Linked DNA regions of Oryzias latipes. The protein of the gene in region 3 binds, or shares a complex with, the protein of the main gene of each other region. Links are inferred from orthologs where the notes say so. Each region holds a gene or a part of one and is shown on either strand. Other genes may lie near its edges. The genes, in order: eif2b4, eif2b1 and eif2s1.

Region 1 (2,656 bases), about 7.9 Mb from region 3:
CATTTGATGCAAATAAAAATGTATCTTTTAAAAGGGAAACTAACTCCAACTACAACGGACCTGTTACACAACTGTGGAGTCACAGAGAAACCTAAATGAATTAATAATGCATGTTAGGTAAATTCTTTGCACTCCTTGATCTTAGGTTTTTGTCTTGGATTGTCCAATTGGGATTAGACTTTTAACCTTCATTTATTAATTTTTTACATTTTGTTAAAGTTAAAAAGCTGCAGCGTTTGCACTTGTGCTCAGTTTGTCCAGAAAACAAATACTCCCTTGTGGGAGTCAGTATTGCTTTATGTAAAATATCTTTGGAAATTGTATGTAATTCTTCTGATGTAAGAAAATAAACTGACTGGTTTCTATGTTTGACCTTTGACTTGTGTCATTAAAATAGTTTAAACTGTCATCACAAAAAAACTTTACAGCTGGAATCACATGCTAACATGATTTACAACTTTGAGATCTTTAGATTAAAAAAAAAAGTTGAGGATCTATTATTTAACTAGCATTAAAGAGATGTTAAAAAATAAAACCCTTTCATAAAAACACACATGACACAGTTTAAAAAAAAAAAAACTTTTGCCATTTCAGGTATATTTTATTGCATGCTAAAAGCACGATATTGTGAAATTGTCTTCAAATCTGCACACAAACTGATGGTAGGTGAGGGCCGTTCACTGGTCCACGTTTTTGACCCGCAGCACCACCGGGACGGAGGTGCACGGGATCATTCCTAGGTCTGTGATGACGAGGTCCACAAAGTCGGGGGGCGTCACGTCGTACACTAAGTTCAGCAGGCCCAGGGAGGCCACTTGCTGCCAGCCTGCCAGCTGTGTCTTACCTTTGCGGGTCACAATGAGGTCATCGGGGTCATCTGGAAAGAAGAGCTGATGGTTAACTGGCCGCTACGCACAGCAGAAGCTGAAAGGATCGAATGACCCTTTGACAGTAAAAAAGTGATCAGTGGTGTCCGTACCGAGTTCATTGGACACAAAAGAATCTGTCTGCACCCTCTCACAGAATTTGTATGTCTCACAACACACTAGCACAGGCACGTTAAAGGCTTTAGCCACCAGAGCTATCTGTGATGTCCCCACTCGCGACATGACGTATCCGTTGGCCAAGAGAGCGTGAGCCCCAAGGAAAACCTTTGATACCTAAAAGAGGAAACAAAAAAAGTCATTTTTACATTCTAGTTAGTCTCTGGACAAGGAGAAACACTTCATAAAGTGACAATATTGAGTTTTTGTTGCCGTTATGGCTTCCTGATTACCTCTGGAAGAATGTAAGAGACGGCCGAGATGAGAACGTAGGTGCAGCTGATGCCTTTCTGGACCAGGCGCCTCAGGGCCTCCCTGCCCTCCAGCCGAGGCCTGCTGTCCACCACTATAACGCGGAACTTCCTCTGTTTATCATAGGCCTCGCATAGGATGTGGTTGACCAGGGATGAGCTGACAGAGGGATCAGACGCACAATTAACAAAACCTAGATGCTCCAATGCTAGAGAAAAATGGAATCTAGAGTGTTGCAGATTAGTGGTCCCCAACCCAAAGGCTGCTGACACTGACCAGTCTGTGGGACAGCTGGTACCACTCTCTACATATTTGCGGTTTTATTTATACTCTGATTCTGAAGGAAGTTTTCTTTTGAAAAACTGCTGGATTCTCTCCCCCACATGACTTTTTTTTTTTGAGCCATGAAAATATATCTGTCAAGTCAGCTGCTCAGACCAATAATTTGAAACTCCTAAGCTAACAAAGTTAACAAAAATAAGAAACATATTTGGAAAGATTCTTTTAGCAGAAAAGAGCCGGTGAGAAATCTGTTTTTCACACTGGCTGTTTGACTTTAAAGAAAAACTAAATCTGCATTTAACAGACAAAAAAAGGGTAGTTTTCTAGAAATATGAATTTATTATGACAGTTGTTCCCACACACCATAATAATGATGAAGAATAATCAGAAACTGCCTGTCTAATAGTACAAAGTTGCTCAAATGGGGGATTCACGTTTATAATTACTTTAGGAAAATACCCGTTTAAGTAATACTTTAGTAAACCCAACTTTTTCATTTCCACTTAAGACAGTTTTAGGTTCAAGGAAAATCTGTATCACATTGGTTCTTCCATGACATCTCGTGTGCACATAATAATTAAACCGACTGGGGATATTTCACAGAGGATGAAGATACACTTTACCCTCAAAAGTTGAGGGAAACTAGAAGCCAAAATAATTTGACCCCCACTTATTGCCTGACATTAAACCGGTCATCTGCCTAAAAAAGGTTGGAGCCCACTGTTACAGACAACCCCAAAAATAGCAATGTTGAACACCTTACCATCCATAAACTAGAATGACGTCCCCATCACTGATCTTTTCAATGGAAGAGTGAGCGATAGCTGTAGCAGCAAGAATGATCTTCTCTTTTATGTACCACTCAATACTGGTGAGCAGTTTGTTTTTTGCCTGAAAAGAACATCTATGATTAGAAATGCTGTGTCACCGAACCTTCAGCACAATAAATTAACGTGTGAACTCAATGTTTTAAACAAACCTCTTCTTCTTTGCACTGGCTGGGAATATTAGAAATCTCCTTCTTGATGTATTTGATGGCGTTACCCATGCTGGCCGACAGGGGGCGACACTGATTCAAA
Region 2 (2,817 bases), on a different chromosome or scaffold from region 3:
TTTTTAAAAAATGTTATTCTATTCATCTTTCTTTTATTACTTTACCTTCATAAATACACAACTTTACTCACAGTTTTATGACCATTTTAAAAATTGTTTGACCTTTTTTACCTTTAATTTTACAACTTTGTTCTCCAAATGTTCCGAACTTCTTTTTTTTTTCTGTATTTTTTTGTGTGGCGCTTTGAACCTGGATGGTCGTTTCCTGCTGCCTGTGGTGGCACTGGCGTTCTGCGGTGGCGCTGGCGTTCTGCGGTGGCGCTGGCGTTCTGCGGTGGCGCTGGTGTTCTGCGGTGGCGCTGGTGTTCTGCGGTGGCGCTGGTCTCTGGCTGAAACGGCTGTTTTCTCGTTGGTCCTCAGGATTTGTCCCGCTGTAAAAAGGTGATGGAGGAGAGAGGAGAGCTCTTTCTGGAGAAGATCTCCATGTCCAGGAATAAAGTGGCCAAGCTGTGTCACACCTTCATCAAAGACGGCGCCGTGAGTTCCCGCCGCTCCCTCTTGGCGCTCGCCGTCCTGCCGCTCTCTCATTCTTCTGCTGATGATCCTCAGAAAATCCTGACCCACTCCTTCTCCCGAGTGGTGCTGCGGGTTCTGGAGAAAGCCGCCATGGAGAAGAAGCGTTTCTCCGTCTACGTGACCGAGTCTCAGCCCGACGCCGCCGGGTGAGTGTGCACGCGCGTGCGCACGTTTTTGTGCTGCAGAGACAGCCTCACTTCCTCCTCTTCCTCTCAGGCAGCAGATGGCGGCGGAGCTGGCGAAGCTCCACGTCCCGGTGACCGTGGTCCTGGACGCCGCTGTGGGGTGAAGCCTGCTCGGTTACAGACGTTTTTTCCCATCATGCACCGCGTCCTCCTCAATGCTCTGCTGTTCTCAGGTACGTCCTGGAGAAGGTGGATCTGGTCATCGTTGGAGCAGAGGGGGTGGTGGAGAGCGGCGGCATCATCAACAAGGTGAGGCGTGGAAGGGGCGGAGTCTCTGAGGTGGGTTTGGACCTAAACTGCAAACCTATTCAGACTGTGGAGTTCAGAAACAGTGAACATGTGGTTCGCTCTTCGACTGCAGGCGGACGGGCGGAAACTCCTCCGTCACCGTCTGATGAATCCTGAACTGGCGTGTTTTTAACCGCATGTGGAGCTGCGTTAGAAACACGCCTGAAAAGTTTCTTTAGTCGCCAAAATCGTCCTAGAGAAACAGCTAAACTCAAAGTGTTCTTTGGTCAGTGCATCCTTCATTCAGATATTTATAACTAAAACATAAAAATAAAGACGTGTCATTAGTTTACAGTGACTCAAAGAGACAACTTAAAGTTTTTTATTGTTTCTGTTAAAAGGAAATCTGACAATACTCAGATCTAAAAAGTACCAACAATGATGGAAATGCCTGGACAGCTGGGTGAATAAATCAAGCGTACCTTTGCAGGTAAAGGGTTCAGTTAACCCTTGTGCTATCCTAGGCACTTTAACGTTGGGAGTTGGGTCATCTAGACCCACTAGACAGTGGGGTCATCTAGACCCACTAGACAGTGCTCTGAACCTTTTTTCTTCAATGATTGGTGATCTTCTCTGGTGTCCATGGATTACATGAAATCTTTCCACCTTTATCCACCTTTGTCATGGTAGGGAGAACACGTCAAAGTAAGGGTGGGGTCATCTAAGATAGCACAAGGGGTAAAGGTTTTGTTTCATCAAACGAGCTTTATGGGAAAAATAGATTCAGACTTTTTCAGAATCAGTTAAAAAATCTTTTTATTCAAATTATTTTGATAGAAAACAGCAGATTTAATCATTGTTTTATCAGATACCAGTTTAGTTTTGAGAATGGAGACTCTTTTCAGTCAGACGGGACGTGGTGGCGGGACGTTTGCCCTCAATGACCTCGGCGCGTCTGTCCTTTCAGATCGGGACCTATCAGATGGCGCTCTGCTCCAAAGCTCACAACAAGCCCTTCTACGTGGTGGCGGAGAGCTTTAAGTTTGTGCGGCTGTACCCGCTGAACCAGCAGGACGTCCCGGACAAGTTCAAGGTCAGACCTCCTCTGACGGCGTTCCTGGATGGGCGAGCCCCGCCCTCACGTCTGTTTCTGCTCCGCAGTACAAAGCCGACACCCTGAAGAAGAGGCAGAACCTGTCGGAGGAGCACCCCGTCATCGACTACACGCCCCCCTCCCTCATCACCCTCCTGTTCACGGACCTGGGCGTCCTCACGCCGTCCGCCGTCAGCGACGAACTCATCAAATTATATCTATAAATGTCAATAAAGCGGTTCAGAGAGGGGCCTCTGCGTCCCGTTTGCTCTTCGGCCCGTCGGTCAGCTGCTGCTCGAAGTCTTCCTCACTGATCCGGCCTTTCTTCAGCTTCTTCAGGAGGCGCGTGTCGTTCAGGAGCTCCAGCGCCTCCTCCTCATCATCATTGCCCTGCAGAGAAGGAGGAGCTTAAACCGTCGGTCCTCGCAGAGACGGCCTCCAGCCGTCAGCGCTCACCTCTTCGTGCTTCCTCTTCACTGCCCTCCTCTTCCTCCGCTCCTTCTTGCTCTTCTGTTTGGACCAGGCTTTGTTCTTGGCGAAGTTCTTCTTGGGCGGCGCCGGCCCGTCTCGGTCCTTCTGCTCTGCCAGCGTCTTCTGCCTCTGCTTCTCCCTGTTCTTGTCCTTGTACGGGATGGCGTCCGTGTCCACCGCCGCCTCAGGGAAATCTGGGAAGGTCTTCCCCCTCAGCTCCGGCATCTTCGGGAGCCGGAGGAGCCCGAAGCCGCGCGCCAAGGCGGCGAAGTCCAGATCTGTCCAGATCAGAACCAAAAGGTTACAGGTTTGTCCCGCCGCTGC
Region 3 (4,301 bases):
CCCCCCCCCCCCCCACACACACACACACACAAACATACACACAAACAAAATCTTCCGGCGGGCGCCGTGTCACGCACTCAAGAACGCACGCAGCTTGTAATGGAAAGGAATAATTAGAACGCAGTAAATTTGTCGTATTTCCTGGCAAGACAGAAACTTCTATTGTAGAATGAGGATGTGTGTGTGTTTCTGAAACAGCGCACGTGTTTGTGTGTAGATAGAGTGTGCACGTGCTGCATGCTTCTCAAAGAGGAGAGAAGGACAAGAGTGATAAAAGGTTTCCCATAGAAACCCTTGAAGTCTGAACACAGGACTAGCAGAAAAAGTAGGGCATCACCGCACCTTTTTTTTTTTAAAGGTTTTTTTTTTTAAGTTTTGCATTACTGATAAAAATATATATATATACATTTTGTGTGATTGTTGAGCCATTCATTTATGAAATGTAGCTTTTATATATTTATAAGGATTGAATAATAACAGTGTTAAGATCTTTTTTGTAAATAACTAACGTTTAACGTACGCGATCCTTTCAAAATAAAATACATGTGAGTGTCAAATACGCTCCTCCTGCTGCATCACCTTTACTTGCAATTATAAGAACTTTGTCACTAAACAGCAAGAAAACAATATTGTGCATCTGAAGATAAGAATATGTGCTTTACACTTATTCTAAAAAAAAAACTGCTCTGACACATTAAACCTTATGACATCTGCCTGCTTTTTCAAAGCCAAAGAGCCAAAATGGAAGAATAAATGAGCTGCTTGTGGCTCAGGGACCTCAGGTTGCAAACCTCTGCTCTGATGTCATGTAGGTATGTTATTAGAACTCTGACAGAAGGGCAAACACACAAATTTAACGTTTTTTTTGGTCTGGAAAAGAGTCGCCAAGCTCTAAATTTGAAATGCAACCAAATTCTCGGTATTTGTTAATCTCAAAAACAACTATCTAATTTAACACGAATTTGAGTCCCCTTGTATGAGCTAAAGCAACATTTGCACTGGAACAGGTTTCTTCAGACAGAAAAACCTGTGAGTGACCAACGCAAGATGTTGGAAGCATCACATGACACACAAGGCGGCTCCTTCCTCTTTAGCGTCCAGACAGCACGAAAAGTCGAAACCATACGTGAGAAACACGTTTATGTAAGAATCAATCACAAACAAATAACCGATAATCAGCTAAAAACCCAATGAATCAATGAAATAATGTAGTTAAGCTAAGTGAGTTAGCAACTAGCAAGAAAAACAAGGTGCTTACATCCTGGACGGGAAAACGTCGATCCTTTCTTTTCCAGACATCTTCTCGGCTTTTGCAGGATACGATCTGAAAACGGGGCGTTGTATAAAAATGTGCTAAACAGACAAACAAACAACCGTCTTCATTCGGGATTAGTTGAAAGACTAAGGTAACTGCCGTGATCTTGTTCGTCCGTGATGATCAGCTGGCCTCTGGTCATGTGACTGCCCCAAGCTCGCACTGCACATGCGCGAAGCGATAAGCGCTCAAGATCTTTTCCGGGTCGAGCAGCTAGTCCACCTATGAATGCGAGCTAACGGCCTCAAATAATTAGCTGAAAGAAGTAGAGGGAACCAATATTTAGAGCACATAACATTCAAGTGTGTAGTTCTGTAAGCCCACGACACAGGTGAGTTGTTATTGACAGAAAAGAAGTTCGATGTTTAGCGTTAAAACAGGCGGTAGTCACAGCTAGCTGGCTAGCAGTTAGCCGCAGCTACATTGCACGCGCCACACGTGAACCCGGTGGTTAGCCAGGCAGCTAGCACGCATTAAGTCAATCCTTTTGTGTTTAAATAAATATCGTAACTCTTTGTGATTGATTGCGCATAGATAGGCACTTTCAAGTAGTCAAAGTGACCTTTTACTCGTTTGATAAATGCCTTGTTTTGGTTCTGTTCGTGCTTGTTTGTCCGCATTGCATCATTTTTATTAAAATATGAAACAACGAAAATAATGGATATTTAAAGCCTTATTAGAACATTACTAGATATATTTTAACAATATAGCATTATGTGTTATGGAAGAATAGATCGTTTCACTTCCTAGAGGAAATTACAGGATCTTAGATTCTACTTTATGGTGGTAGAAATTCAAATTTTTAGGCAATTCAAACTAAATTGACAAGTTCTTGATATGACTGATTAAAAAGTAGATACATATTGATTGGTCCATTTAAATGTTCATCCCAAACAGATGGTTTTTCTTTTTGCTGTGTTTACCAGAGCTAAAAATCCACTTTCATGCAATCCAGTCAGTATTTTTCTTAGTAGTTTTCCTATAAACTTCTATCTTAGCTATTATAACCTCAGTACTCCTTTTTATATGTTTACCGTACCTCATTTTAAATCCATCTCAATCTGGCTTTATATCACAAAAACCCAAATGAGCTCACCATTCTGTTAACATTCTTCAAACTTTGACTAGAAAATAAATAAGAATGAATTTATGCTGAACAATGAAATGAAAATGTTTCTTTTTAGCATAAGATGTGTTAGATTTGAACACGGTTTTGATTTTTGATGTTTTTCGACAGTGATGCCGGGGCTCAGCTGTCGATTTTATCAGCACCGGTTTCCAGAGGTGGAGGATGTTGTGATGGTGAACGTGCGTTCCATCGCAGAGATGGGCGCGTACGTCAGCCTTTTGGAGTACAACAACATTGAGGGCATGATCCTCCTGAGCGAGTTGTCCCGTCGGCGTATCCGCTCCATCAACAAGCTCATCCGCATAGGTCGCAACGAGTGCGTTGTTGTCATCCGAGTAGATAAAGAAAAGGGTGAGTGTTGCTGAATGTCTTCATAATGAGGGGTAAATCTTTGCAAGTGAATGCCTTTTTTACTGTTTTCAAATTCCTTTCTTATGTTCATTTTCTTCTTTTTTTTCCAGGATATATTGATTTATCAAAAAGAAGAGTTTCTCCAGAGGAGGCCATCAAGTGTGAAGATAAATTTACCAAATCTAAAACTGTATGTTTTTGTTTTTTTCTTTATGAAACCTTTGTTTTCATGCTGAGTAGACTGTCTTGTGTTTGCAGGTGTACAGCATTCTGCGACATGTGGCAGAAGTGCTGGAGTATACCAAGGATGAGCAGCTCGAGAGCTTGTACCAGCGCACAGCCTGGGTGTTTGATGAGAAGTACAAGCGGCCCGGTTATGGAGCTTATGACGTCTTCAAGCAGGCTGTGTCGTAAGTCCAAACAGAAAAGTCACAAATATATAAATACTTAACCTTTGTATAAGTTTTCAGCTTTTTCCTCCAGAGATCCTGCCATTCTGGATGGCCTAGACTTAACAGAAGAGGAGAGAGCCGTTCTGATCGATAACATCAACAGGCGACTCACTCCACAGGCCGTCAAAATCAGAGCAGGTTTGTTCTTTTTGGTCATTCCTGTTCGACAACAGGAGAACATCTTAATGACTCTGCGTCTTTGTCGTAGACATCGAGGTGGCGTGTTACGGGTATGAGGGCATCGATGCGGTGAAGGAAGCTCTGAGAGCCGGTCTCGGCTGCTCCACAGAAGCCATGCCCATCAAGGCGAGCCACAAACTGCGACTTGTTTTTTAAAATGTTCTCTGAAAACTGTTTAGGTTGTTCAACCAAACTTTTATTGTGGTCTTGTTGTCGTAGATCAACCTGATCGCTCCTCCTCGCTACGTGATGACGACCACCACCTTGGAGCGCACAGAAGGTCTGTCTGTCCTGAACCAGGCCATGGCTGCCATCAAGGAAAAGATCGAGGAGAAGAGGGGCGTCTTCAACATCCAGATGGAGGTGAGAGACTTTTATTTTGAAACGTTCACTTTTTGTTGTGCACAAGATAACACAAAACATGAACAAGAAATGTAATTAGACTCAAAATGTGAAAGGAAACTTTTCATTTGAGGCTGTCAGTATGCAATTCCCAGTCAACTATAAGATCAATTTTTGTCTAAAAATGTGGAATTTAACCGCAGCTTGCAATAATTTTAAGTACACTTAGTCAAACTGTCACTTAATTTGTTATTTTAAAAAAATTAATGATGAACTTGTATTTTTATAACCGCAAAATACCACAATAAGACGTCATTTAGTTTAACTTTAATGTTTTTCAAAACAAAAAACAAAACAACCTGCTACTTAAATGTTTAAACAAATGCCCAGAAATAGGATTAGAAATGTTATTAATTTTGCAAATGTTTGCTATTTAGAATGATTCTGAACAATCTGTGTATAGAAACTATTTTGATTCAATGTTTTGAATATTTGCTGAAAGGTCTGTTGCACTTTAACATTTACTCTTAGC

What was found.
Region 1: the proteins of eif2s1 (region 3) and eif2b4 are in contact, whole or in part, in a cryo-EM structure (PDB 6O81), measured with the Homo sapiens proteins. The link is inferred for Oryzias latipes from reciprocal best matches to the Homo sapiens genes EIF2S1 and EIF2B4. Residues at the interface, in NP_004085.1 of Homo sapiens: Met30, Tyr33, Met45, Arg55, Arg57, Arg75, Glu79, Lys80, Tyr82; in NP_001029288.1 of Homo sapiens: Asn245, Glu246, Glu247, Arg250, Thr285, Ser520, Ser521, Asp522.
Region 2: the proteins of eif2s1 (region 3) and eif2b1 are in contact, whole or in part, in a cryo-EM structure (PDB 6K72), measured with the Homo sapiens proteins. The link is inferred for Oryzias latipes from reciprocal best matches to the Homo sapiens genes EIF2S1 and EIF2B1. Residues at the interface, in NP_004085.1 of Homo sapiens: Ala28, Glu29, Met30, Tyr33, Gly44, Met45, Leu47, Leu48, Arg75, Lys80, Tyr82, Ile83, Asp84, Arg88; in NP_001405.1 of Homo sapiens: Gly39, Thr41, Ile42, Gln43, Gly44, Leu45, Arg46, Ala47, Asn48, Glu70, Arg74, Ser77, Ser80, Leu81, Glu82, Tyr83, Ser84, Asp85, Tyr86, Cys89, Leu305.

What each region holds. Positions count from the first base shown.
Region 1 is NC_019882.2:13,754,086-13,756,741, reverse strand, and holds the end of eif2b4 (translation initiation factor eIF-2B subunit delta), read right to left. Parts: coding exon 2,557-2,656; intron 2,469-2,556; coding exon 2,341-2,468; intron 1,455-2,340; coding exon 1,277-1,454; intron 1,161-1,276; coding exon 980-1,160; intron 878-979; coding exon 678-877; 3' UTR 571-677; downstream 1-570. UniProt on the Homo sapiens protein: Acts as a component of the translation initiation factor 2B (eIF2B) complex, which catalyzes the exchange of GDP for GTP on eukaryotic initiation factor 2 (eIF2) gamma subunit.
Region 2 is NC_019870.2:1,222,447-1,225,263, forward strand, and holds the end of eif2b1 (translation initiation factor eIF-2B subunit alpha), read left to right. Parts: intron 1-360; coding exon 361-477; intron 478-549; coding exon 550-662; intron 663-732; coding exon 733-801; intron 802-874; coding exon 875-950; intron 951-1,728; exon of another isoform or gene 1,729-1,896; coding exon 1,897-2,022; exon of another isoform or gene 2,023-2,090; coding exon 2,091-2,246; 3' UTR 2,247-2,262; downstream 2,263-2,817. Other genes in the region: ATP-dependent RNA helicase DDX55, read right to left, coding at 2,263-2,412, 2,479-2,771.
Region 3 is NC_019882.2:5,867,213-5,871,513, forward strand, and holds the start of eif2s1 (eukaryotic translation initiation factor 2 subunit 1), read left to right. Parts: upstream 1-1,468; 5' UTR 1,469-1,646; intron 1,647-2,552; 5' UTR 2,553-2,554; coding exon 2,555-2,795; intron 2,796-2,905; coding exon 2,906-2,985; intron 2,986-3,053; coding exon 3,054-3,205; intron 3,206-3,278; coding exon 3,279-3,385; intron 3,386-3,455; coding exon 3,456-3,553; intron 3,554-3,646; coding exon 3,647-3,790; intron 3,791-4,301. Other genes in the region: atp6v1d (V-type proton ATPase subunit D), read right to left, coding at 1,259-1,299. UniProt on the Homo sapiens protein: Member of the eIF2 complex that functions in the early steps of protein synthesis by forming a ternary complex with GTP and initiator tRNA. This complex binds to a 40S ribosomal subunit, followed by mRNA binding to form a 43S pre-initiation complex (43S PIC).